Linked DNA regions of Ovis aries. The protein of the gene in region 2 purifies or fractionates together with the protein of the main gene of each other region. This does not show direct contact. Links are inferred from orthologs where the notes say so. Each region holds a gene or a part of one and is shown on either strand. Other genes may lie near its edges.

Evidence for each region.
Region 1: the proteins of ARMC8 (region 2) and TCEAL9 purify together in Homo sapiens (affinity purification with mass spectrometry; 3 studies listed by BioGRID and IntAct, with this or other methods). This does not show direct contact. The link is inferred for Ovis aries from reciprocal best matches to the Homo sapiens genes ARMC8 and TCEAL9.
Region 3: the proteins of ARMC8 (region 2) and RANBP10 purify together in Homo sapiens (affinity purification with mass spectrometry; 5 studies listed by BioGRID and IntAct, with this or other methods). This does not show direct contact. The link is inferred for Ovis aries from reciprocal best matches to the Homo sapiens genes ARMC8 and RANBP10.
Region 4: the proteins of ARMC8 (region 2) and MKLN1 purify together in Homo sapiens (affinity purification with mass spectrometry; 4 studies listed by BioGRID and IntAct, with this or other methods). This does not show direct contact. The link is inferred for Ovis aries from reciprocal best matches to the Homo sapiens genes ARMC8 and MKLN1.
Region 5: the proteins of ARMC8 (region 2) and UBE2H purify together in Homo sapiens (affinity purification with mass spectrometry; 3 studies listed by BioGRID and IntAct, with this or other methods). This does not show direct contact. The link is inferred for Ovis aries from reciprocal best matches to the Homo sapiens genes ARMC8 and UBE2H.
Region 6: the proteins of ARMC8 (region 2) and HTRA2 purify together in Homo sapiens (affinity purification with mass spectrometry; 5 studies listed by BioGRID and IntAct, with this or other methods). This does not show direct contact. The link is inferred for Ovis aries from reciprocal best matches to the Homo sapiens genes ARMC8 and HTRA2.
Region 7: the proteins of ARMC8 (region 2) and ZMYND19 purify together in Homo sapiens (affinity purification with mass spectrometry; 4 studies listed by BioGRID and IntAct, with this or other methods). This does not show direct contact. The link is inferred for Ovis aries from reciprocal best matches to the Homo sapiens genes ARMC8 and ZMYND19.

Annotation. Positions count from the first base shown.
Region 1 is NC_056080.1:128,953,242-128,956,744, reverse strand, and holds TCEAL9 (transcription elongation factor A protein-like 9), read left to right. Parts: upstream 1-1,396; 5' UTR 1,397-1,501; intron 1,502-2,291; 5' UTR 2,292-2,360; coding exon 2,361-2,657; 3' UTR 2,658-3,003; downstream 3,004-3,503. UniProt on the Homo sapiens protein: May be involved in transcriptional regulation.
Region 2 is NC_056054.1:251,574,232-251,578,184, forward strand, and holds the start of ARMC8 (armadillo repeat-containing protein 8), read right to left. Parts: upstream 2,801-3,953; 5' UTR 2,546-2,800; coding exon 2,501-2,545; intron 1-2,500. UniProt on the Homo sapiens protein: Component of the CTLH E3 ubiquitin-protein ligase complex that selectively accepts ubiquitin from UBE2H and mediates ubiquitination and subsequent proteasomal degradation of the transcription factor HBP1.
Region 3 is NC_056067.1:34,829,279-34,832,509, reverse strand, and holds part of RANBP10 (ran-binding protein 10), read left to right. Parts: intron 1-65; coding exon 66-270; intron 271-991; coding exon 992-1,113; intron 1,114-1,602; coding exon 1,603-1,748; intron 1,749-1,997; coding exon 1,998-2,109; intron 2,110-2,519; coding exon 2,520-2,650; 3' UTR 2,651-3,231. UniProt on the Homo sapiens protein: May act as an adapter protein to couple membrane receptors to intracellular signaling pathways.
Region 4 is NC_056057.1:96,864,284-96,867,783, reverse strand, and holds part of MKLN1 (muskelin), read right to left. Parts: intron 3,484-3,500; coding exon 3,344-3,483; intron 1-3,343. UniProt on the Homo sapiens protein: Component of the CTLH E3 ubiquitin-protein ligase complex that selectively accepts ubiquitin from UBE2H and mediates ubiquitination and subsequent proteasomal degradation of the transcription factor HBP1.
Region 5 is NC_056057.1:95,429,595-95,433,520, reverse strand, and holds the start of UBE2H (ubiquitin-conjugating enzyme E2 H), read left to right. Parts: upstream 1-1,126; 5' UTR 1,127-1,564; coding exon 1,565-1,617; exon of another isoform or gene 1,618-3,926. UniProt on the Homo sapiens protein: Accepts ubiquitin from the E1 complex and catalyzes its covalent attachment to other proteins. E2 ubiquitin conjugating enzyme that transfers ubiquitin to MAEA, a core component of the CTLH E3 ubiquitin-protein ligase complex.
Region 6 is NC_056056.1:96,382,737-96,386,765, reverse strand, and holds the start of HTRA2 (serine protease HTRA2, mitochondrial), read right to left. Parts: upstream 2,801-4,029; 5' UTR 2,705-2,800; coding exon 2,199-2,704; intron 2,086-2,198; coding exon 1,881-2,085; intron 1,792-1,880; coding exon 1,597-1,791; intron 1,358-1,596; coding exon 1,325-1,357; intron 1,101-1,324; coding exon 995-1,100; intron 860-994; coding exon 790-859; intron 184-789; coding exon 88-183; intron 1-87. Other genes in the region: lipid droplet-regulating VLDL assembly factor AUP1, read left to right, coding at 3,077-3,126, 3,207-3,344, 3,424-3,574, 3,774-3,958.
Region 7 is NC_056056.1:402,476-405,975, reverse strand, and holds part of ZMYND19 (zinc finger MYND domain-containing protein 19), read right to left. Parts: coding exon 3,377-3,500; intron 1-3,376. UniProt on the Homo sapiens protein: May be involved as a regulatory molecule in GPR24/MCH-R1 signaling.

The DNA.
Region 1 (3,503 bases), on a different chromosome or scaffold from region 2:
AATCCATGGACTGTAGCCTGCCAGGGTCCTCTGTCCATGGGATTTTTCCAGGCAAGAATACTAGAGTGGGTTGCCATTTCCAACTGAGGGATCGAACCCAGCTCTCTTGCATCTCCTGCATTGGCAGGCAGATTCTTTTTTTTTTTTTTTTGTATTGAAGGATAATTGCTTTACAGAATTTTGTTATTTTCTGTCAAACCTCAACACGAATCAGCCTAAGGTATGCATATGTCCCCTCCCTCTTGAAGCTCCCTCCCATCTCCCTCCCCATCCCATCTCTTTAGTTGATACAGAGCCCATTTGAGTTTCCTGAACCATACTACAAATTCACATTGGCTATCTATTTTACATATGGTAATGTAAGTTTCCATGTTACTTCTTCCATACATCTCACCCTCTCCTCCCCTCTTCCCATGTCCATAAGTCTCTTCTCTATGTCTGCTTCTCCATTGCTGCCCTATAAATAAATTCTTCAGTACCATTTTTCTAGATTCCATATATATAACAGGCAGATTCTTGACCACTGGGCCACCTGGGAAGCCCGTCTCTTCCTCTCCCCTCCCCCCCAAAATTATTCTTGTCTAAAAATAATCCTTTTATTTATTTAAAACTTTATCTTTACTTTTTAACACCAAAACATTTTAGCAATATTTTAAATGTAGTTTTTCACTTTACTTAATACTTTTCTATATTTTTAAAAAAGTAACTGAAAAAAACAAAATTCAGCTGAATAAATGTGAGGAACTAATTGGCTTTATACAACAATTCATGAATAGGGCAGCAACCCATCTAGCAGCTATCAGGGTGCTGTCAGGGGTTGTATAAAATGGAAGGTTTCTATAGGCTGGCAAGTCCGGCAAGGGAGCTATTAGCATAATAAAAGGAATGATTGGAGCTATACCCCAACAGAAAAGTATTAACAGTAAAGTTTAGAACTACATTAAAAATAATACTTCTGTCCCAGGCCTCCCCCACTCAGCTCTTTTTTTTTTTTTTTTTTTTTAAGAAACAACCCGCTGCCAAACCAAGCCTATTCCACAACAGCCAAGGACCAGACTGCAGATGAAACGGAAGCTGGGGCAGGGGCAATGGATGTAAGTTAGTGTTCTTAATCCTGGGAGCAGAAGGCAAGAAAAAAGAATTCTTGAAGAAAGTAGAAAAGTTTAGTAGCTCCAGGAAAAAAATGCAGCCCCTCCCTAGTAATCAGAGAAAGGCAAATATTTTCCCCCTCTGGGATAGGCAAAAAAGATGGACAGGGCAAATGTCCAAGCGGGGAGGGAGCAGAGGACTGGCCCACATCTGCCGCGCTTTTGGTGGGAGTGGAAATTGAGGACCAGAGCTCACTGGTGACGTAGACCTCATGTGACCAGGAGTCGACGTGTGCAGAAGTCCTGCTAGTCTGGTCCTTGTTCCCGTCTGGGTACCAGCTTCCTTCAGCAGCGGTAGCCGGTGGGGCCAACGGTGGGGAAGGAGAAGGAGTCTACTGGCTGAAAATTTTCAGGTTGGTGGCAAAATAGATGCTGCCTGGGAATTACTAGGGTGGGGATGGCCTAGAAGCAGAGATTTAAGGGAGCCTTGGAAAAGTCCAGCTCTCCACCTCCCACCTCCAGGTCTGCAGGAAATGATGACCCTTGGGAAAGGGACTAGGGGTCCCGGAAGAAGGACAAGGAGACCTGTGATAGTTTAAAAATAATCATCCTCTGCCACCTAAGGCCGCTTTCCCAACACCTCCCCTCCCCCCACCCCCAACCCCCCGTGTTAATGATAGTTTGGAAATTTGCTTTTCCGACTCCCTGTCTGATGGAAAATTCGAGTTAACTTGCACTATGGAGAGGGAGGGAAATGAGGGAAACAGAAGGTGGGAAAGTTTCCATAACCGGGAACCTTAACAGGAAAAGTCCGCCGAGTGCTCGCCCCACCCCCACTCTTACCCCCTCCCCCTCCCGCTTCCCGTGGGTCTGAGGTCTGCTATCCTGAAAAGGCCAGGAAGAAAAGTGACCAGATCCATACAGGAAGATGAGGGAAATGTTATAAACGCCCCTGGGGTGGAGGTGGGCAAAGGAGGGACTGAGGTCGTGGGCCCCTATGCTCTTCCCCCGCACCCCTCTTCCCGCAGCTTCCTTGTCTTCTGGGAGGGTCTTGCGTTCTGCCTTGTGTGAGAGAAATGGTTGAGAAGAACCTTGGAAACGGCTGGAGGGAGGGACGAGGGAGGTGAGGAGGTGGAAAATGGAGGTGAGAATGGCAGGCTCAGGGGAAACCCTGATGGCTGACGTATCCTTCTTGCTTCCTAGAAGTAGCTGTTTTCAAAGAAAAATAAGCAGAAGAAAAGAAAGGAAGAGGGAAAGAAAGGGAGACACAAGATGAAACCCTGTCAAAAAACTGAAGAAAAACCAGAAAATGAGAATGAACCAAAACTTGAAGAAGTACCAAAGCCTGAGGAAAAGCAAGAGGAGGAGCAAAAAACCGAAGGAACTTTTAGAGAAAGACTGATTCAGTCTCTCCAGGAATTTAAAGAAGATATACACAACGGGCATTTAAGCAAGGAAGATATGTTTAGAAATGTGAATGAAATTGATGCGATAAGGAGAGTCAGAAACAAACTTATAGTGATGCGTTGGAAGGTTAATCGCAACCATCCTTACCCCTATTTAATGTAGTTTACCTCGATTTCTGTTTTTTCTGATTGTTGACATTACTTTCTTTTTTGTTGTCCTGTATATCTCTGTCCATCTTTCTGCTTTTAACTTGTTGCTGTTAGTGGTTTAAGATGCATCTCATTGTTTATTTCAAACCAATCTACAAGTCTTTGCCTTTTAATAGGAGAGCTTTACTCATTTGTACAAAAAGAGATTCCTAACAGGATGTAAAATGTAAAAATGTTACTAAGTAATATGTGAATATCATATTTTTGAAAGGGGAGGGCGCATTTGTATATTCCATATATACACAGAAGAATATGTGAAGGATGAAAGACAAAAAATATAGTCAGTGGAAGGATTATGAGTGATTTTTTTTATTCAGCTTATTTGTATTTTTCCTTATTCCTAGAATGTACACACTTTATTGTTAAAAATAATAAAAGTTTTATAACAAAAAAGGAGTAACCAACAGTAGTTATTATATTTCTAAAGGCATTGAGACACAAAATATTAGCAGAATTTTAGAAGTAAATATGAACTCCAAATTACCAACAGACCTTTTAGCTAGAAAAATAAATTTTATATCTTTTCTCATTTGTAGTATAGAGATAATAACGATCTTTCTGGGATCTCATGAGGACCAAATAAGGTACTGACTGTGAGCTATATTTGATAGGCTTTTATTTCCATATGCCCATGTAGGATGCCAGATCCTTAAGAGATTTGTTTTAGGTATTTTGGAGAGAGAAGGTTAATTCTCACCTGTGCTTAAGAAAAAATCCAGACAGCTGTTAGGTGGGTACCACCTTTGTTTTTCTCTCCTCCTGTGCCTGCCCAACCTTCTATGCCCCTCCCCTTGATATT
Region 2 (3,953 bases):
ATGATTCAAGTGGTTTAATGGTGGGTGATCCATGAAAGACAGTACCATTAACAGAAAAGGGAAGTCAGGACCAAGTTCTCTTAGAAGAAGGAATGTGCTTTGTTGGAAGTGATGGCTAACACCCACACAACTGAAGACATGAGACCAGATGGAGAACAGTCAAGGCTTACCATGCAGATGTGTGACTCGACTACAGTTAACGTTTTAGAATGTATGAAATCTCTCAGAGAGGTTGTGGTTAGTCGCTCAGTTATGTCTGACTCTTTGTGACCCCAGGCTCCTCTGTCTATGGAATTCTCCAGGCAAGAATATTGGAGTGGGTTGCCATTCCCTCCTCCAGGGGATCTTTCCAACCCAGGGATTGAACCCGGGTCTCACGCATTGCAGGTAGATTTCTTTACCATCTGAGCCACCAGAGAGAAGATATAAAGGGCCTTGAATGGAAATTCTCTAAACCATTTGATCTGCCCCTGGTGTGAATTATGTTTTTCAAGCTATGGAGTCATTCAGACCAGTGAGTTCCCTGAGGGTATGCTGAGCTCAATCATGCATTCCCTAAAGCATACGTTAAAGAGTGTTGTACACAGCTGGTACAAAATAAGTAGCCTATTAAAGGGGTCAATTATTTTCAAGATAATTTTTGATTATTAATTCCTGTTCCATCTGCATTTTGTATTTCAAAAAGTGGTGTCCTGGGTAGAACTTTGAAAGATCCAGGCTTCAGTTGAAATTATTATAATCAATAAGGTTTGACAGTTTAAATCATTTATCCAAAGCTCTGATTTCCCAAGGCTCCAGAACTGATGAACTGAAAGACCAGACCCTGAGACTCTGAAAACCTTAAAAAAAACAAAACAAAACAGGTGGTTGGAGGTGGAGGGGAAGAAAGGCCCAATGAGACTGGGGCTAAAGCAAATCCCCACTAGAAGTACAGAACACTCTTCAAGAAGTTTTTGCACAAAGTTTAATAGGAAATATTACTAAGGGAGTGAAAACAAACAAACAAAAAAATCAACTGTACCCTATACGAGTTGACGATGTACAAAAATAAAGACGCTTCAAGCGAAGTTAAGGATAAACGAGAATAATTAAAGGGAATTGAGAAAAGTGACTTAAAAACAACAGCATAATGATGGAAAAGTCATTGGCCTGTTCTCCCATAAAATGTTCCTAGGTGTCAGTCAGAGGTGTGGTAACTGAATCTAAATTCAATGCTTAGGTGAACATTATTTCCCCAGTCACAGTTTAAAAATTTAAAAAAAGGATTACTAAAATGGATCAGAGAAAAGATTTCTGTACAGCTCCCCTCCCTCCAAAAAAATTATCAAGGTGGAATATACCACAATTCTGCAACTGCAACAATGCTCTAAACGCGAATTGTTGCAAATGTGCTAACTGCTAAGATAGGTGAGTGTGTTTGTGGGAGAAGTCACCGAAGAGAAAAGAAACCAGTTGAAGCCACAGACTCACCGAACCTGACAAGTCACCTACAATCCAGCCACCCTCTCAACATCGGACTGACTTCCACGACAAGTCTAAAAGATGGTCAACCAGTCTTTGCCGGCTGGTTTCCAACTACAACAAATGGGCCTCTGGTAAACTGACTTTTCTCAGTTGCACAGCTTTCATTTGTTGCAAAACCCTTCTAAGGTACCTTTTAGTAACTTTCACCCCTGGTCCTGGTTCTCTCAAGAGCAACACAGTAAACGGTGAAAGTCGCGTTCTGGTTTTATTTTTAAACTTCAACAAGCAAACTAGGTTTGCTTTCTGGCATGTCAATACATTCCTTTTTTTTTTTTTTTTTTTTAACGTTTGACTCCCCTTGAAGGAAAGAGGAATGCCAAGCACAGGTTCCTTCAGACTCACAGGGCTGAGACCTCCACAGCAGAGCGGAGAAAGGGAGCTTAAATAACTACACACACTAGGAGACGTTGCAACTGATATGAAATACCCGTTGCCAAGAAGCAAGCAGCTCCAGCCCGTGACCGGGTGCTGGGAAGCGATAGAAGCCACACAGATCTGGCGTGGTAGCCCCAAGTCTGTGGGGGCCAAGGACCCTCTATCTCTTTTTGCCACAGCGGCCGGGGGGAGGGGTGGCTAAGTGGGCACTCATCCCCAGCTCAGCGGCAAGCCCGGCGCTTCACGGAGCAGAGTGCTCGGCCCCGGGGAACCGGCATCGCTAAGAGGAGGGCTCGGTGAAACTGGCAAAGCCCAAGCCGCGCCGCTGGGCCAGCTGCCCGTACGCCCAACCAGCCCGCCCGCCGGACGCCGTCCTGAGAACCGGCACCGGTGAGCGCTCCGGCAGTTGGAGACGTCTCGGGCTCGGCTGGGATCCAGTCTATCCCGCCCGCCCACCCTCTCTCACTCCCCGGCCCAGAGCTGAGCCAGAGGCCACCCCAAGGGGTGGTGCCCAAGAAGGCAGACGGCGTTGGTGGTGAATGGAGCGGGCTGGGCCCGAGCTCCCGCGCGGGCAAGCGAGCGGCTGCGGCGGGTCACTCACCGAGAGGACGCTCATGCGGATTGGGGTCTCCAACAGGCACGCCATCTTGAGCCTTCCCACCCGGCTGCAGCCGGCGCCGGCGCGGGGGCCGGCACTTTCGACAGCCGACTACTGGGCCAACCACAGGTACCTCTCCAGAAAGTCAGGCAGGTAGACGAGAACAGACCACCCTCTAGACACCGCTGAACTATGGCCAAAGCCCGCAGAGGGACGAGCAATGGGAAACCGCGCCAGGGGCCTCCTTACGAATCGTCCTCTCAGAAACGGCAGCTACTCTCAGCCTGGGTTAGAGGTGGGAGCGGGCAGCAGTTCCCGCATGCGCAAAGAAGATCTGCCGGCCCCACCTGCGGCTCGCGGAGGGAGGAGCGTCAGGGGCGGAGTCTCGCTGCAAGCTTCTTAGACTGATTCGTTACAATTTCTTGAGTTCCCGTTCTTACTATTCCAAAAGACTGGTGTGTGGACCCACCTACATAATTTGAAGTTCGCTTTCGCATTCATTATCTCACTCCTTTGCACCAAACTCCTAGCGTCGTTATTATCTCCGTCTTACAGAAGGAGAAACTGTGATCCCAGAGCCAAGTGTTTTGCCACCAGTAAGAGTGTGTCACGATCCGATGCTGTTTCAGCATTATCCGACTCTTTTATTCTAGTGTAAAGAATAGATACTCTAGAGCCAGAACGCCTGAGTTTAATCCTTGCTGTTTCACAGAGCTGCATTACCTGGGCATCTCCTATGCTTCAGTTTCCTCCTGTGTCAAATAAAGGGTTAGAAGAATGGAAAATGTAAAGCTCTTATAACATGCCTGAGACATAGAAAGCGCTGTATATGTGTTAGCGTTTCTCGAGCCGCTGAGTCAAGTAGAAAAAAAAAAAAAATGGGGGCAAGAATCTGATTAATTCACACTACTGCTCTGATCGTTGAAGCTAAATAAAAATATGCTTCTAATTCTAATTTCTGACTGACGAGTTCAGCTCTCTCATTCCATTTGTGTGGTTGTGTATATATGTGAACAAAGCTGCTCTGGATTTGGCTGAACAGGTTTCAACTTCATGCTGTTCGCAACCAGCGAGGTTTTCATAGGATGATTGCAATGAACCTATTATATATTACTCGTCCTCATGCCATTGGCCACCTCATGCGAAGAGTTGACTCACTGGAAAAGACTCTGATGCTGGGAGGGATTAGGGGCAGGAGGAAAAGGGGACGACAGAGGATGACCTGGCTGGATGGCATCACCGACTCGATGGATGTGAACTCCGGGAGATGGTGATGGACAGGGAGGCCTGGCGTGCTGCGATTCATGGGGTCGCAAAGAGTCGGACACGACTGAGCGACTGAACTGAACTGAACTGATGCCATTGCTGAAGACACTCCCTAATGCAGGCTGATATTACCTCTCCCCTGGACTAGGCTAATAGCCTTCCGATGGAGGTGGTAGCTCTAGCGTAGCTT
Region 3 (3,231 bases), on a different chromosome or scaffold from region 2:
TTACTCCCGGGCCCCCACTGGGCAGCAGGCTGGCCCTCCTCTTCTGACCGTCCCCCGGCTTTTAGGAGCAGACAGTCCCAGCTGCAGCAACGGCGTCGCCTCCACCAAGAGCAAACCGAACCACAGTAAATACCCTGCACCCAGCTCCTCCTCGTCCTCATCATCCTCATCATCCTCCTCATCTCCCTCCTCAGTGAATTACTCTGAGTCCAACTCTACAGATTCCACCAAGTCCCAGCCCCACAGCAGTACCAGTAACCAGGAGACCAGGTACCTGTTCTGCTCAGCTTCTTCTCTCACTCTGTGCCCACTACAGCCTGTCCTGTGAGCAGCCCCTGCCCTGTATCCCCAACTTCCCCACCAGCTCTGTGCCTGGAATAGTAGTTGTGGACCTGCCAGGCCAGACTTTGGCTCCAGCTTCCCATCTAGCTCGTGATTCAGCTGCTGCTTCCCTTGGCCCCATCTTTCTCCAGAGCTGCTGGCACTGAGAATGTGGTTGCCTCCAAGGATACCAGGCCTCTCAGAAGGCCCCAGGGACTATACCAAAGGAGTTTTTTCTGGGCTCAGTTCTCAGCCAGACAGTTTGGGCCGGTAGAGGTTGTAGACTGCAGACTGTAGGTGGCTCTCAGCGCCCCAGCATGCTTCAAGGCTGACCCAGGTTTGGCTCCCAGACATGCCTGTCGTGACTGGTCATTGGGGGTCTAGAGGTGCATAGAAGGAGTGTGCCAACTCAGAGGAGGGCTGGGGGGGCGAGAGTCACAGAGACAGCGTCGGAACTGGAGTGGGAATGAGGTGACAAGCCTTTGGGGATGGCTGGCGTCACAGTAGGGTCCAAGTGTTGGAGCCTGGGAACCTGGGAGCTATCCTTTCATGCCCTTTGGGGACCTCAGTTTATCCACAGCAGCCTGTGGCTGAAGCCTCGGTGGAGGCCCACCGAGGCTGCTCCAACCACATTCCCTTAGCCAGCTCCCATCTCCACCCTTCTCCACAGCGACAGTGAGATGGAGATGGAGGCGGAGCATTACCCCAACGGTGTGCTGGAGAGCATGTCCACACGCATCGTCAATGGTGCCTACAAGCATGAGGACCTGCAGACGGATGAGTCCAGCATGGGTAAGGCTGTGCCCTCACCTGCCCACTGTTCCGCAGATGGCCGTGCTCAGTCCCGGTGCCCTCTTCCCTCGGTGGGGGTAAGGGTGGGGCTGGGCAGGCTGATCCACTGCCTCTGTAGCCATCACAAATGGGTGTTTGCGATGGGAAGACCTTGGCCTGCTGCCCAGGCTGGGTTCCTTCATTAGTGGCTGGAGGGGGTTGGTGAGAGCAGGTACCCTTATGAACCCCTTACATCTTGCACAGGGTGGGAGAGGAAAGCTTCCAAGTCCTGCCTGACCCCTAGACCCTATGCTGGGTAGACTTAAGAACGGCTCAGCTTGGTGTGGCCCCCCTGCGCCTCTTAGCCCTCGCTTGCCTCCACCAGAAGGGCACTCACCCCCATCCCCAACCTAGGTCCTTCTTGCCATGTTCTCTTCGGGGTCCCCACCCTAGTCCTCCCTTGTTTCTTTGTGCCCTCCCAATGTGCCCCCTGCTGGGCTCTGGGTGCAGATGATGGGCATCCGCGGCGGCAGCTCTGCGGGGGCAATCAGGCAGCCACGGAAAGAATTATCCTGTTCGGCCGCGAGTTGCAGGCACTGAGTGAGCAGCTGGGCCGGGAGTATGGCAAGAATTTGGCCCACACGGAGATGCTGCAGGTATGGAGCAAACCAGGCTTTTGTACAGAGTGGGCCCCTGTTTGGTAGTAGGGGCGTGTGGTGACTCTGGGAGGGCACTGGGGGCAGCAGCAGTAGGAGAGAGTGAGCTCTAGACAAGACCGTGGTGGGAAGTGGGACATCGGGGTACTTTGTGCCCTCCCTGACACCATGCAGGGCCCCGTATCCCCCTGAAGCCATGGGGCGTGTTGGTGCGTACCACAGTCCTCTCAGAAGTACCCTGTTCCTTAGGATGCCTTTAGCCTGCTTGCCTACTCAGACCCCTGGAGCTGCCCAGTTGGCCAGCAGCTTGACCCCATCCAGAGGGAGCCTGTGTGTGCCGCCCTCAACAGCGCCATTTTAGGTAAGTGGCTCTAACGAAAATAAGCTGTCCCAGGAGTGCCTGGGGTGGCCCGTCACCCCTCCCTTGTTTGTCCAGATCAGGGCAGGGAAGTCTGCCTAGAGGCCCTCTGGTGGCCCGCAGGACTCTTGGGCTCCTGTGACAGAACCCTGACCTCCCTCTGCCCAACTGAGTCGGCCAGCTAGATCACAGTAGGCCCTAGACTATGACGTGGGCCCAGGCCAGCTCATTGCTCCAAAGAAAGCTAAGGTCCACAGGGCCATAGCCTGGTGGTTTGGACACACATGGAGGCATATGAACTCTCTCTTCCGAGAGATTCTGTCCACTCTCCCCAACCTTCTGCTCCCAAAGGAACTTGGATCTGGGCTCAGCCCTGATCAGGGCAGTGACCAGGTCTTGTCTTTTCTCCACAGAGTCTCAGAACCTGCCAAAACAGCCCCCGCTGATGCTCGCCCTGGGCCAGGCATCTGAATGTCTACGGCTCATGGCCCGAGCGGGCCTGGGATCTTGCTCTTTTGCCAGAGTCGACGACTACTTGCACTAGCTGACCACACTGGCTGGCCCCGCCTGGCCCTCCCTCGGCCCCAGGGCTGGAGCAGCCCTGCTCTCCATCGGCACCTGGTGCAGGGACCCAGAAGCCACGGGCAGAGCCCACTCCTCCTGCCTGGCCTCTTCTGTTCCTTTCCTCCCTTCCTTCCTTTCTTTTTCTCCCACCTTCAGTCTCTCTCTCTCTCCCTCCTTCACGTGCAGCGGCCTATGACACAGAATTGGCTGGTTACTGTTCATGTAGCGCCTTCTATTTTGAAAGAGGGGGGTTGTTTTGAGGAGAGGTTGGGGTTTTTTAATCTTTTTCTTTTTTCCTCTCCTCCTGACTGAGCCACCAGTATTTATCTCTGGAGAGTTTGTGCTGAGCTGGTTTCTGCTAATTTAGTGATGAAGCCTATCCACGTTGGTGATAGCTTATTATTTTCATAAGTAAAAAAAATGAGATTATATATATAAATATATATATTAAAAAAAGACAGTATTTATCGTAGTGTTAGTGGTCCAGCACCTCTTGGGTGAGGCTGTCCAGACACCATGTTTTTATTTGAGTACAACTCATCAAAAAAGAATCATCTCTGT
Region 4 (3,500 bases), on a different chromosome or scaffold from region 2:
CCGATCCAGGGATCGAACCCAGGCCTCCTGGATTGCAGGTTGATTCCTGACCATCTGAGCCACCAGAGAAGCCACAGAGGAGCACACAGACTTACATGATAACATTAACCACACTGTTATTTCTGTTATTTATAACTGCAAGTAAGTTAGAAATAATCTAAATATTCTACAAAAGGAGACTAGTTATGTAAATTACACAGAGTAGAACACTATGTAGCCATTATATTTACTAATGTAAGGAATAAGACGTTTATAATACATCACTTATTAAAAGAAATCAGATTCAAAGCAAGATGATTCCTCTTTTTTAGTTAAAGCAACAAAAATTTCTTTGTGCACCTACAGTTCATGGGATACATAACCAAAATATTACTTCTGAATGGTGGGATGAGGGATGATTCAACTGCAGTGGAGAGAGAGGACTTTTTTATCCTTTTTTAACCATGTATTACTTTTCTAATTAAAGGCCAGAGGGGAAGTATTTACAAGTAAATTCCAATTCTTTTCTTATAGTACTAAACAGCTCTTTTAAATCTCTAGTGGGCTTTTGGTCAGGAAATTTTTTTCAAAAACCAAACTCAACATTCTAACTATAGTTGTTGTATCTGATGTAGGGAAGGAAAAAAACAAAAAACCGACTATGATTTTCCCAAACCTGTCTTATCCCTTTAAAAACAAAGTTTAACATTAAGTAAAATACAAAGGAACAAAATTTTAGCAATGCAAAATAACATTAGCTGAAGGAAAGTTATGACCAACCTATCCATATTGAAAAGCAGAGACATTACTTTGCCAACAAAGGTCCGTCTAGTCAAGGCTATGGTTTTTCCAGTGGTCATGTATAGATGTGAGAGTTGGACTGTGAAGAAAGCTGAGCGCCAAAGAATTGATACTTTTGAACTGTGGTGTTGGAGAAGACTCTTTGAGAGTCCCTTGGACTGCAAAGTGATCCAACCAGTCCATTCTAAAGGAGATCAGTCCTGGGTGTTTTTTGGAAGGACTGATGCTAAAGCTGAAACTCTAATACTTCGGCCACCTCATGCAAAGAGCTGACTCTTTGGAAAAGACCCTGATGCTGGGAGGGATTGAGGGCAGGAGGAGAAGGGGATGACAAGAGGATGAGATGGCTGGATGGCATCACCAACTCGATGGATGGGAGTCTGAGTAAACTCTGGCACTTGGTGATGGACAGGGAGGCCTGGCGTGCTGCAATTCATGCAGTAGTAAAGAGTCGGACACAACTGAGTGACTGAACTGGAACTAGACTGGAAGGTACTTTAAGCTTAAATGTTGCTAATAAGACAGAATGTTGCTATCCATCCAATGTGATAGTTCAGCCCCTTTCTCCTACAGATTCTATAGGAAATACTTAATTCATAGTAATGACAAAGCAACAGAAGCACCTCATATCTCTCATCAATTTGTTTCTTAAGCACAACTTGTGAAAGCAGAGTAAGAAATAACAGGTAAACATGATATGATAAAGAAATAAAAATCTATTTTATACCTACACAGAGGTTTTAATTTTATTCTATATATTAATAAAATATAATACATAATTATATAATAAACATATAAATACACATAAGTATGCATGTCTGTGTATATACATATGTGTATGAAGTGGAAGCGGCGGTGGTGGTGAAGTGGTAAAAACTCTGGAGTCAGAATACTCAGGATCAAATCCTGCTGTCACAGCTGAATGACCTTAGATGAGTTACACAATCCACTTAAAAATGGCTCCATTTCCTCTTTTACAAAAAGAGTAACTGTAACAGTAACTTCTCCACTGACTTATTGTGCAAATAACATGCAGGCTTTAGCATACAAAAATTATTCATCAGTTCAGTTCAGTTCAGTCACTCAGTCGTGTCTGACTCTTTACGACCCCATGAATCACAGCACGAAGGCCTCCCTGTCCATCACCAACTCCCAGAGTTCACTCAGACTCCATCCATCACTCAGTCCATCGAGTCAGTGATGCCATCCAGCCATCTCATCCTCTGTCGTCCCCTTCTCCTCCTGCCCCCAATCCCTCCCAGCATCAGAGTCTTTTCCAATGAGTCAACTCTTTGCATGAGGTGGCCAAAGTATTAGAGTTTCAGCTTCAGCATCATTTCCTCCAAAGAAATCCCAGGGCTGATCTCCTTTAGAATGGACTGGTTGGATCTCCTTGCAGTCCAAGGGACTCTCAAAGAGTCTTCGCTAACACCACAGTTCAAAAGTATCAATTCTTTGGCGCTCAGCTTTCTTCACAGTCCAACTCTCACATCCATACATGACCACAGGAAAAACCATAGCCTTGACTAGACAGACCTTTGTTGGCAAAGTAATGTCTCTGCTTTTCAATATGCTATCTAGGTTGGTCATAACTTTCCTTCCAAGGAGTAAGCGTCTTTTAATTTCATGGCTGCAATCACCATCTGCAGTGATTTTGGAGCCCCCAAAAAATGAAGTCTGACACTGTTTCCCCATCTATTTCCCATGAAGTGATGGGACCAGATGCCATGATCTTCATTTTCTGAATGTTGAGCTTTAAGCCAAGTTTTTCACTCTCCTCTTTCACTTTCATCAAGAGGCTTTTAGTTCCTCTTCACTTTCTGCCATAAAGGTGGTGTCATCTGCATATCTGAGGTTATTGATATTTCTCCCGGCAATCTATGGTACCTATTATCATCATTAAAAGCTGTCTCTCCCCCCAAACTGTAAATTTTAATTACAATCTAACACTATTAGCAACCAAGGGAACAGATGTATTTTTCTACATTTTTCAGTAGCTTATCATTTGCTAAGGCTAAAAAACAAACAAGACTGAGGAGATATATATGAAAATGTTTGATTACATGATTTTGAAATTATATTGCAAAAGTAATGATGCAAAACTATAATATTTTAAATTGTATTCTGAAACATCAAAGTATAAAGAGAGTATTTAGTCAACTATATCATCATATTTACTGTTAAGAGAATCAACAATAGGTCAGTCAAATGCCAATAATTCTAGAAATGATATTATTTGTAGTGGGTTAGGCCTTGAGTTACTTGAAGGTAAGTTCATCATGTTCATAGAAACTTTTTCCATTATTTTGACAGCTGCAATATATCCTTGCTTATCTTTAATAACTTTTAGCATTAAGATCTATCTTCACTTTGTACCTTTCTTTAAAAAAGAAAGAAAAAAATAAGGAGAGTAACAGGGCATTTACAAAAGTCACGATCTTCACAATATTTACACTGTCGTGTCACTAAATTTCCAAAGATAAAGTCACATCTCCAAAGCTTAGGTAATATCAACAATAGCTGATTATGCTAAATGAAAGTTTTTAGTGAATTATTTTTATACCTGTGTTTTCTTATGAGGTACTTGCAATGCCGCAGTAAGTAATCTTTTGAAGGCCTACACAATTTCAGTGACCAGAAGTCATCTAATCTCATCTTTGGGGAGCATGATTTTCCTGGATTCCCACCAAATAAATAATGAACCTATAATAAATAAAGCA
Region 5 (3,926 bases), on a different chromosome or scaffold from region 2:
AGGTTACATAAGGGGACCCAACTCACAGCACGTGGTTTGACAGACTACAAGTGTATTCATGGGGACAAAGGAATAGATAAAAATTTTGAAAATAGATGGCAGTGAAAAAAAATGTGATATAAATACAGGAGCTGCCTGGAACACTCCTTCCTGCCCTCTTTGCCTGGTTGACTCCTGGATTCCACATCACTTCTTTTGGAGTGCCTTGTAGAGCAGTGTCTCTCAAACTTTAGTGCACAAAGGAATCACCGGGGGACCTTGTTAAACTGCAAATTCTAATTCAGTAGGTCTGAGGTGAAGCTCTAGCCTGCATTTCTAACAAGTTCCCAGGTGATGCTGACAGTCTAGATCTAGACCACATTGGGAGGGCTGTGTAAATTTAAAGTCTTTCTTAGTTCACCATGATATCCTCATGTCCAGCAGTGATTACCACACAATGGGTGATCAATAAATGCTTACTGAATGAATGATGAAGTTATAGGCCTGCTCTAGACGTTTGGAAGGCAGAACAAACTTTGTCCTAAACAGCAGCATATTTGGGGTACTTCTGCTTCTTTCAGTCATTCACTTTGTGAAATCACCACATAACTGTGTAAAGATGTTACAACTAAATTGCCATCATGCTGTCTCAATTCTAATCCTTGAAAAAATGACCCTATACATATGAAGGATAGCAAACCCTGATTTGCAAGCTTGAAGAAGCCTGGCTATTCTCTCCTTTCAAGGTGGGAGCAGAGGGCAGGGGACCTGCTGGTTTAGGAATTTCTAGATTTTGGTAACTGTCTGGGTTAATTTCCACCTTGGCTTCCTTAAATCAAATAAACAGACTTTTAAACAGTGTATGTGGGAAGGAGGTTCATTACCCTAAAACACATGAATATGATGATACTGCCATTATTTAATCATTATCGTTTTTGATGATGACAACGACGCTGACAGTTGAGCGATTAAGTGTGAGGGAGTTGGGGGAGGGGGGGCAGAAAGCTGGACGGGCAGGAAAAAGAGGAACTACAACTCCCAGAATCCCCTGCTAAACTCACGCCGCCGCCGCGGCACCCCACCCCTTTCGCCAGCTGGGCCCGCCCCTCCAATGACGTCACAGAGGTGACGTCACGGCGCCCAGAGCGAGGCTGGGGTAGAGAGGCCGATTGAGCAGGAGTCGTCCGCTTGTCGTGGAGGCAGCTTGGGAGCCGGCGAGAGGGTGAGCGGGCGAGCAGGCGAGAGAGCTAGAGCAGGCAGGAGGGAGCGACGCGCGGCGCAGAGGAGCGCCAGGTCCGGGCCGCGGCGGAACCCACAGCCGGAGAGGGGCAGCCCGAGCCGTGCGCCGCGGGGTCCCCACCCCCACTCGGCCGGACAGTGCCCGGTGTTCCCCCCCGTGCGGGGGGCGGCGGCGGCGGCGGCGGCTGACGGGACCAAACAGGACCGCGGGGGTGTTGCCACCTCCATCGAGGAGCCGGCGCGGCCGCGGGCTCCTCAGAGCCGGGGCCCGGGGCCCGTGACAGGCGGGCTGAGGAAGGGCGAGAGGCGGCGGCGGCGCAGGCGACGGGGAGGCAGCGGCGACACCATGTCATCCCCTAGTCCGGGCAAGAGGCGGATGGACACGGACGTGGTCAAGCTGTATCCTTCGTGGAGCGGGGCGGGGGGTGGGGAATTCGGGTTCTACGTGGGGGACGATATGGGGATGCCCGGGGCACCCCCTGAAACCTAATCAGGGGCCCAGGGGCACTCCAGCCCACTGTCCAAGGCTTCCTCCCACCCCTCCCTCCTCCCAGTGCCTACGGAGGCTCTTTGGCACCTCCCAGGAGCCGAGATCCTTCTCAGCTCCCCCTTTATCTGCAGCACCCCGAAATGTGCGTTGTTCACGCTCTTTCCGCACCTTCAGCCCCCGTGACTTTTCTCCACGACATTTGGACTCCCAAATGGGCCTTTTTTTTTTTTTTTTTTGCAGTACCAGCCCTCTCTCTTCACCACCAAGCCCACCTTCTTTTTCCTGTTTGCTCGCTCTGAATTTGGGGATTCGAGATAGAAATTCCCTAGAGCGAAGCCTTTCTCCTTTTCTTGAGATGCCTCCATTCCCTCCTCTCACAGTGCTTCTTGAACTGGGGTAACTCAAGTGACCTCCTTTATCCCTAATTCCTTTCTATATTAGGAAGAGAGTAGTCTGCTCAGTGCCCCCCTCTTGTATTAAAGAGCTCTGAATATTTTAGATCAGCTACCCCTATTAAGCTTTCTGGTCCTTAGAAGAACCTCACTCTTTTCTTCCTACCGACAAAGCCTATCCCACCCATAGTATGTGGTGAGGACCCCCAGGCCCTCCAGCAAGCCACCCTCCATATTGTGGCTATGACAGCTGAGGGGGAAGGAGAAAAAGGGGATCTCCTTGACCAAATAGCCCCTGCACTAGCCAGTTAAGCAAACTCCCTGTATGAGAATAAGGTGCTCATAATAACTGCCCTGTTCTTGCCAAGTGACACCCTTTATTTTCCTACTCCCCCCACCCCAACTTTATGTACTTTGGAGGTAGCAGTGGGAAAGCTCTAACTGATAAGAGTCCTTCAGGCAGTGGTTTTGGTTGGAGTCCAGACCGATTATTTCATGACCAGCTAGAGAAATTCGCGAAGGTTCCTGTGACAAATCGAGACATTTTTTGAGGGGTAATTTAGAGAGAGATGAGAGAGAGGAGCCCAGGGTTCTGAAAGACTGAATCCCTGGGGAGAGGGGGAACCCGGGGCTGGAGAGTGGTAGTGTGTGAAACGCAGTTTAAAAAGTCCTGTCTCCTGCTTCTGTTTCTCCTTCACCCCCATCCCCCCACCATTTCCCCCTGTTGCTGGGTTTTGTTTATATAACTCAAGTTGTTTGGCTAGATTCTTCAGGTGAATTCCTTCTTTCTTCCTTTTATTGTTACTGTTTTTGATTGGATGTTTTACCAGTTTGTAGAGATCAATGGTTATTGTTGAACACTCACTTAAAGAATTCGCTGAAGTTTTAAAAAAGTAGTTTTTTTCATTTGGTTTAGAAGTGGGGGATGGAAGGGAAGTTGCCTGGGCAAGTGATTCTTCTCTGCCCCCCCCCACCCCATAATCTTTTCAGGAATAAGATGTTTTTCTCTTCACTCAGGAAAACTTGATTAGAAATTAGGAACAGTACATGAACGTCTCAGTTTAGGGTTAGAAGTTTAGAATTTGGGGGAGGTGGGAGTGGGAATTAGAGGAGCAAGTAATAAAGTATATATTATGTACCAAATATATGTTTAGGCACAAGTGAAATTGACTCTTTATGAGCTGTTTGTGGCTGTGATTGAGTTTTGTAAATGTGTGAATAATACCAGTAATGTTGGCTTTTCATAAGGTGGCAGGAAAACTTGTAACTATGGCTGTGTGTACATTTTACACAAAGCAGTTTCGGGTTTTATTTTTGTTTAGAAACTAGGAAATGACATGGTGGCAGAATCTTGAGTTATTTTTATCTTGAATTGAGACTTACTGTCACACCTAATGCAAATTTCTACCTAATGTTTAATTGGGATGGGGGTGAGAGAGAATTCCAGCTGTCTTTGATCAATGTCAGATTCTCAAATTATATACTTACATATATTTTTTTAGAAGGCTGAGGATAAAGAGGGTGAGGCCTTACTTGACCTGATGCCTTTTCCATACAGTGCCTTTTGTTCATTTAGTAGTTGTGGCATCTAGAATGATCACCGTATTTAGGAGTGGGGTGTGGGGGGTGGAGAGGGGGAAGAAAACAGACAAAGAACAGCAGGGTGTCTTTCTTTTTTTTTCTTCCCCTAAGTGGCTTATTTCATAGCTTATTTTTAGTAGAAGATGAAGAAAGGCAAAGATGCATTGGCCTTCTGTTCTTTCCCCACCTTCCTCCTTTCTGACAAAAGAAAGCAGAGGCGCTTTAAAATTGTACATGTCTGAGAT
Region 6 (4,029 bases), on a different chromosome or scaffold from region 2:
AGAGAGATAAAGGAAGAACTAGATGGCCCACTTCAAGGGCGCATACACCCCACCCATCTCCACCTCCTAACGCAGCCTCTCCCTCACCGGTGAGCAGGGGAGTCCAGGATGACCTTATGGATGAGCACACCATGCTGAACATCAGGGAAGCTTGGTTCTCGAAGCTGTAGTTCAGCAAGGATGCTGAAAGGACACAGATCACTCTGTTGGTCACAGGGCACTCTCCCCATTCGGGGTTTGCCTCACATCTTTCATCAGCACACCGACAAGCGTGTGAACAGGACGTGCACTAGATCCTCTTGATACAAAAACAATTCACTTTTTGCCTTCTAGCAGTTAGGAAGCAGAATGTGTATATAAAAGGTAACATTCCAAATGACACACAGGGTTAAATCAATAGCACTAATGTCATTCTAGAATCCTAAAAGCAGCTATAACTTAGGAAGTGCTATAACTTTAGCTTAACCTAGAAGAATCAATCTGATATTAAACTATATAAAACAAGAACAACATAAAAACACGGGATTAGGAAATCAAGTTGGCTGGAACAGAAAATACTCATAGGGAAGCCACATCTGGAAGGTTGGGTATTTATTGTAAATCTAAGCAATAACAGGATGGAAGGTATGCAAAATAGAGTGAGGTGAGAAAAATCAAGATAATGAGAGAGGAATGAGGCAACTCATCTTAGATAAAAACAGAACTAAGAACGAAGCTCAACAGAACTGCCAGGTACCCACCACTGGTTACACTGATGGCCCTACGTGTCACTACCCCTAAAGCTCATACCTGGGAGTCAAGGTCAGCATCATCACCCCAATGTAGCGGCGCTGGGACCCACTGACTCCAAACCAGGAATCTGTGTTAGAAGGACAAATGAGCCCCACCCAGGTATATCCTTACTTCCCCTCCTCCTCCCAATTGACCCCTCTTCCAGCAAACCCTCCCCACCCCTGCCACTAAAGAAACCCGTTTCCCCAAAAGCCAGGCTTACTCTTCTTTTCTCCACGATGCAGAAACTCTCGAAGGCGATCAGAAGGGATGGCAAAGGAGATTCCAGATGTGACCTTCATGGTATTCACCCCAATCACCTCCCCATCCTGTTGGGACACAGCCCACTATTCTCTAGCCCAGACAAATAATAGGAGATGGGGGTACCTGAGCAAGAGTGGGAGGGAGTTTTGGGGGAGATCTAGTTGGATTCTGGGAGACAGCCAACAAGAAACTGCTCAGAAACTTGACCAAACACCAGTGAATTAGGGGAAACCCACCTCTTCCCATACTGACCTGAGATAGGGATTCTTGGAAAGGATGTCACACTCACCAGGTTAACCAGGGGACCTCCAGAGTTTCCAAACTGCAGGACAAGGAGAAAATATGGCAGAGATCCAGGGACTCTATGCCTCGGGGCACAATCAGGATGTAGACACTTTCTCCAAATCCTCTCCTTTCCCAGCCCGTGAAGGAGTGGCCACATTTTTTGCAACCCAATCCCAGTATATAGGCTCATCCACCATCTATCACAACTGGTGCCTGTACCACACACCCCTCCCCTCTCTCCCAACCTAGTCTCATTTTTCTTATATCAGGACGCACATCAATAGCTGCATCAGTCTGGATATACTCCACATTGGTTTGGGGAAGGCCCAGATCTTTGGCTGGACGCTGAACAGAGCTGACAATGCCGGAGGTGATTGTGTTCTGCAGTGCAAACGGGCTTCCCATAGCAACAACAAACTCCCCTTGCCGGACATCAGCTGAGCGTCCCAGGCGCAGCGTAGGGAGAGGCTCCTAAGGGAGAATGGGTACAAGAGACCTGGCATCTGGAGATGTGAACAAATTCACAGTCCCAAGCAGACATGGCCTGCCCCGACCCCCACCTTGGTCTGAATCCTCAGCGTGGCGATGTCTGCCACGGGATCCACAGCTGTGACCACGGCCTCATACGTGTCGCCGCTAGGCAGCCTTACACGGACTCGGCGCCGATCAGCCACCACATGGGCATTGGTAACGATGAGTCCATCGGCAGCCACCACGAATCCTGAGCCATTCGAGATAGGGACTTCGCGGCCCGAAAAAGGGTGCCTGGAAAAAGGGGGGCGGGGGGACAGTACAGATGTGAGGAGGCTCAGACCCATCCTTCTCGCCCGCCCTCTAGCCCGCGGCTTCGGTGCCTTAGTGTTTACCCCCACCATTACCGGCCCAAGATCTCGATATAAACCACGGCAGGGGCCGTCTTCTCCACCACGTCCGCGATGAAGTTGTACTGGCTCCGGGGAGAGGTGGGCGGCGAGCCAAGGACCGAGGCGAACACAGCCGGGGGACCCCGCCCTCCGCCCCAAAACAACAACAGCACCGCCCCTCCAGCGCCCAGCGCCACCGCTAGCCACACGCGCGGACGGGTTCCGGGAGTTCCGGAGCCTTCCGGAGTCCGGGGATCTGGGGTCCCAGCGATCAGCCGTGCTCGGAGATCCGAAGTCCAGGACCTCAGGCATGTCCGTGGTTCAGGGACCCCCACAGACAACCGGGCCCTGAAACTGGGGGTCCCATAAGTCACTCGGGTCCGAGGGTCAGGAGTTCCTGACGTCAGCAGGGCCCGGAGGTCAGGGGTCAACAGGGGTCCCTTTCCCCAGAGACCCCCACCCAAAGCCCGCCATCCCGGGAGGCTCCAGCCAGCACCCCGCCCCGCCCTCAGTGCAGCCATCAGCTCCGCCTCGGCGGCTTCCTCGCCCGCCCAGCGCAGAGGCGGCGCCCTAGACGCGACCAGGAGGGCAGCTGGACGCTGAGGACGCCGGTACCTGAAGTCTCCAGAAGTGCACGCTGGGACCCAGGATTCCGGGAGGCCAACTCCGCCCCCGCCCCGCGAATGCCGGGAATTGTGGTCCCCGCGGGACGCGAGTTATGAGGTGGCCCACGGGTCCGCGAGGCATGATGGGACCGCTAGCCCTTCCGGGGCGCCTCAGAATTTCAGGTCCCGGCACCCTGGGCGGATGCCCGAAGACTCCGCCTTCCCAAGAGCCCCTGCGGCGGGGCGCAAAGATGGCGGCAGCGGCCAGACAATCCTAAAGCAGCGGCAATGGAGCCTCCGTCGTCGCCGGGGCCGGAGCGGCTCTTTGATTCGCACCGGTAAGAACCCCGGCGGGAAGAGACCGACTTCCGCGTCCACTTGGCCTTCGGCGCCCAATCACCCCGCCTCTCGCCCCCAGGCTCCCGGGTGACGGCTTCCTGCTCCTCGCGCTACTACTCTACGCTCCAGTCGGGTTCTGCCTCCTCGTCCTGCGCCTGTTTCTTGGGATCCACGTCTTCCTGGTCAGCTGCGCGCTACCAGACAGTGTCTTTCGCAGGTTCCGACCCGGGCGCTCGGGGAGGGCTGGGGCTGGGCCTGGCCCAAGGCCAGGTAGTCACCACTGCCTGCGTTCGCAGGTTCGTGGTACGGACCATGTGTGCAGTGCTGGGGCTCGTGGCCCGGCAGGAGGACTCTGGACTGCGGGATCACCGTGTCAGGGTCCTCATTTCCAACCACGTGACACCTTTCGACCACAACATAGTCAACCTGCTCACCAGCTGTAGCACCGTGAGTTAGGGAGGAAGCCGAGAGTGCCACGGAGTGGCTCCCTGGGGCCCAGCTCAAGGCACCCCTCTCCGTGTTCGGGTTTCCCATGGGGACCACAAGATACTGACCCTTACCCCGACCTTGCTTTTCTACCCATATGTCAATTTTTCTCACTTCACAGCATTCTTTTCTTCTTGCTTTCTCTCCTTCCGGTGCCCAGCCTCTACTCAATAGTCCCCCAAGCTTTGTGTGCTGGTCTCGGGGCTTTATGGAGATGGATGGTCAAGGCGAGTTGGTGGAGTCACTCAAGAGATTCTGTGCTTCAACAAGGCTTCCCCCTACCCCTCTGCTACTATTTCCCGAGGAAGAGGCCACCAATGGCCGGGAGGGGCTCCTGCGCTTCAGGTAGGTGAGCACAGGTATCTGTCTCCAACTGGAGGTGATCAGGCTTGGGGGCCCTGGGGTTTTCACAGCCC
Region 7 (3,500 bases), on a different chromosome or scaffold from region 2:
GTTTGGGTTATTTTATTTTTTTGCTGTGCCATGCAACCTGTGGATAGGAATAGGCGAATGGAATTCCGATGACCATTGTATCTACTACTGTGCGCAAGAATCCCTTAGAAGAAATGGAGTAGCCCTCACAGTCAACGAAAGAGTCCGAAACGCAGTACTTGGGTACAATCTCAGAAACAACAGAATGATCTGTTCGTTTCCAAGGCAAACCACTTAGCATCACAGTAATCCGAGTCTATGCCCCAACCAGTAATGATGAAGAAACCTGAATTTGAACAGTTCTAGGAAGACCTACAAGACCTTCTAGAACTAACAGCAAAGAAAAGCTCCTTTTTATCATAGTGGATCAGAGTACTAGAGTGGAAAGTCAAGAGATTCCTGGAGTAACAGGCAAGCTTGGCCTTGGAGTACAGAATGAAGCCCGGCAAAGGGCAACAGAGTTTTGCCAAGAGGACGCACTGGTCACAGCAAACACCCTCTTCCAACAGCACAAGAGGCTGACCCACACATGGACGCCACCAGACGGTCAGCACTGAAAGCAGACTGACTGTAGTCTTTGCAGCCAAAGATGGAGAAGCTCTATGCAGACAGCAAAACCAAGATGGGGAGCTGACTGTGGCTCAGATCATGAGCTCCTTATTGCCAAGTTCATACTTAAATTGTAGAAAGTGGGGAAAACCACTAGACCATTCGGGTATGGCCTAAATCAAATCCCTTATGATAGTACAGTGGAAGTGAGGAACAGAGTCAAGGAGTTAGATCTGATAGACCGAGAGCCTGCAGACCCATGGACGGAGGTCTGCCACGCTGCGCAGGAGGCAGTCACCAAAACCATCCCCAAGAAAGAGAAATGCAGCAAGGCGACGTGGTCGTCTGAGGAGGGCTTACGGAGAGCTGAGGAAGGAAGAGGAGTGAGAGGCAGAGGAGGAAAGGTACACCCAGCTGAATGCAGGGCTCCCGAGAAAAGGAGAGACAAGAAAGCCTTCTTAGGGGAACAATGCAAAGACACAGGAAACCAACACGACGGCAGGGGCTGCAGAGCTGGGCAAGGGAACTGGAGACGCCGCGGGAACAGCCGTGTGAGGGGGCTCGATAAGGGGCGGGAACGCCAAGGGCCCAACAGAAGCATAAGAGGCCAAGAAGAGGCGGCAAGAATACGCAGAAGAACTATACGAAAAAGGTCTTCACAACCCAGATAATCACAATGGTGTGATCACTCACCTAGAGCCAAACATCCTGGAGTGTGAAGTTACTGGGCCTTAGGAAGCATCACCACAAACAAAGTTAGTGGAAGTGATAGAATTCCAGCTGGACTATTCCAAGTCCTAAGAGATGATGCTGTGAAAGTGCTGCACTCAATATGCCAGCAGAGTTTGAAAATTCAACAGCGGCCACAGGACTGGAGAAGGTCAGTTTTCATTCCAATCCCAAAGAAAGGCAATGCCAAAGAATGCTCAAACTACCATACAATTGCACTCATCTCACATGCTGGCAAGGTAATGCTCAAAACCCTTCAAGTGAGGCGACAGTGCATGAACCAAGAATTTCCAGATGTTCAAGGTAGACTTAGAAAAGGCAGAGGAACCAGAGATTAAATTGCCAACATCTGCTGGATCATACAAAAAGCAAAGGAATTCCAAACCAACACCTTCTTCTGCTTCATTGACTAAAGCTAAAGCCTTTGACTGTGTGGATCGCAACAAACGTGAAAATTCTGAGAGAGATGGGAATACCAGACCACCTTCCCTGCCTCCTGAGAAATCTGTATGCAGGTCACGAAGCAACAGTTAGAACTGGACATGGAACAGACTGGTTCCAACTAGGAAAAGGAGTACGTCAAGACTGTATATTGTCACCCTGCTTATTTAACTTACATGCAGAGTACATCATGAGAAACGCTGGGCTGGAAGAAGCACAAGCTGGAATCAAGATTGCCAGGAGAAATAGCAATAACCTCAGATATGCAGATGACACCACCCTTACGGCAGAAAGTGAAGAACTAAAGAGCCTCTTGATGAAAGTGAAAGAGGAGAGTGAAAATTTTGGCCTAAAGCTCAACATTCAGAAGACGAAGATCATGGCATCCGGTTCCATCACTTCATGGCAAATAGAAGGGGAAGCAGTGGAAGCAGTGACAGGTTTTATTTTCTTGGGTTCTAAAACCACTGCCAACAGTGGCCGCAGCCACAAAAGTAAAAGACGCTGACTCCCTGGAAGAAAAGTTACGACCACCCTAGACAGCATATTCAAAAGCAGAGACGTTACTTTGCCAACAAAGGTCTGTAGTGAAAGTTACGGTTTTTCCAATAGTCATGTATGGATGTGAGAGCTGGACCATAAGGAAGGCTGAGCAATGAAGAATTGATGCTTTCGAACTGCGGTGCAGAAGAAGACTCTTGAGAGTCCCCTGGACTGCAAGGAGATCAACCAGTCCATTCTAAAGGAGATCAGTCCTGAATATTCCTTGAAAGGACTGATGCTGAAGCTGAAACTCCAGTGCTTTGGCCACCTGATGCAAAGAGCCAACTCATTGGAAAATACTCCAATGCTGGGAAAGATTGAAGGCAGGAGAAGGGGGCGACAGAGGATGAGATGGTTGGATGGCATCACCGACTCAATGGACGTGGGTTTGAACAAGCTCCGGGAGACAGTGGAGGACCGCGGAGCCTGGCGTGTGGGGTCCGTGGGCCGCAGAGTCGCACGGGACTCAGCGAGTAAACGACAGGAATGCAACCTGTGGGCTCTGAGCTCCCCAGCCCGGGTTCACACCCGGGTTCACAGCCGGGCCCGCCGCAGCGGAAGCGCCAAGTCCTAACCGCTGGGCCACCAGAGCATCCCCAACCTTCCTTTCTGCTGATGAAACCACCGTCCTATCCCCAGCAGAGCAGAAAAGTGCTCCGAAGCAAGCAACTCCTCAGTGCCGCGGGCCGCTGCCGAGCAGTCAGTGTGCAGCCCTGGTGGCCGCTCCTGAGACCTCCAGGCGGTTCTGTGGCTTGCCACATCTCAGCAGGGGAGCCAGCAAGGGTCCTATTTTTGCTTCAGCCAAACTGGGCTCAGTTTCTGTCACTTGCAACCGCAAGTGTAGACTACCACAATCCCCAGGAGGATGAGAACCCTAACTAACTGTCAGGAGGCTCTGCCTCCTTCAAGAGCCACGTGAGGACCCCTTAGTCAGGATCAGGCTCTAACACTGGAGTCTGGACCAAGGAGGGGCGCAGGCTGCCCAGCTGACCTCGGAGGCACTGTCCTGCCTGCACACCTGGAGGGAGATGACCAGCACTCCCAGACCCACAGAAGCCGCAGAGCCAGAGCCGAGCCAGCCTCCCTTGGCAGCGAGCCTGGCGGGGCCGCACTGCCAGGCCCCAGGACGACCTACCTCTGCTTGCTGGAGGCCTCCTCGGCTCTGGGCCGCCAGCCCCACGGCACCAACTGCAGGTTGTCCAGGCGATTGTCCACAGTGACGGCGTTGAGATGCACCACCTGAAACCCAGGGGCGATGC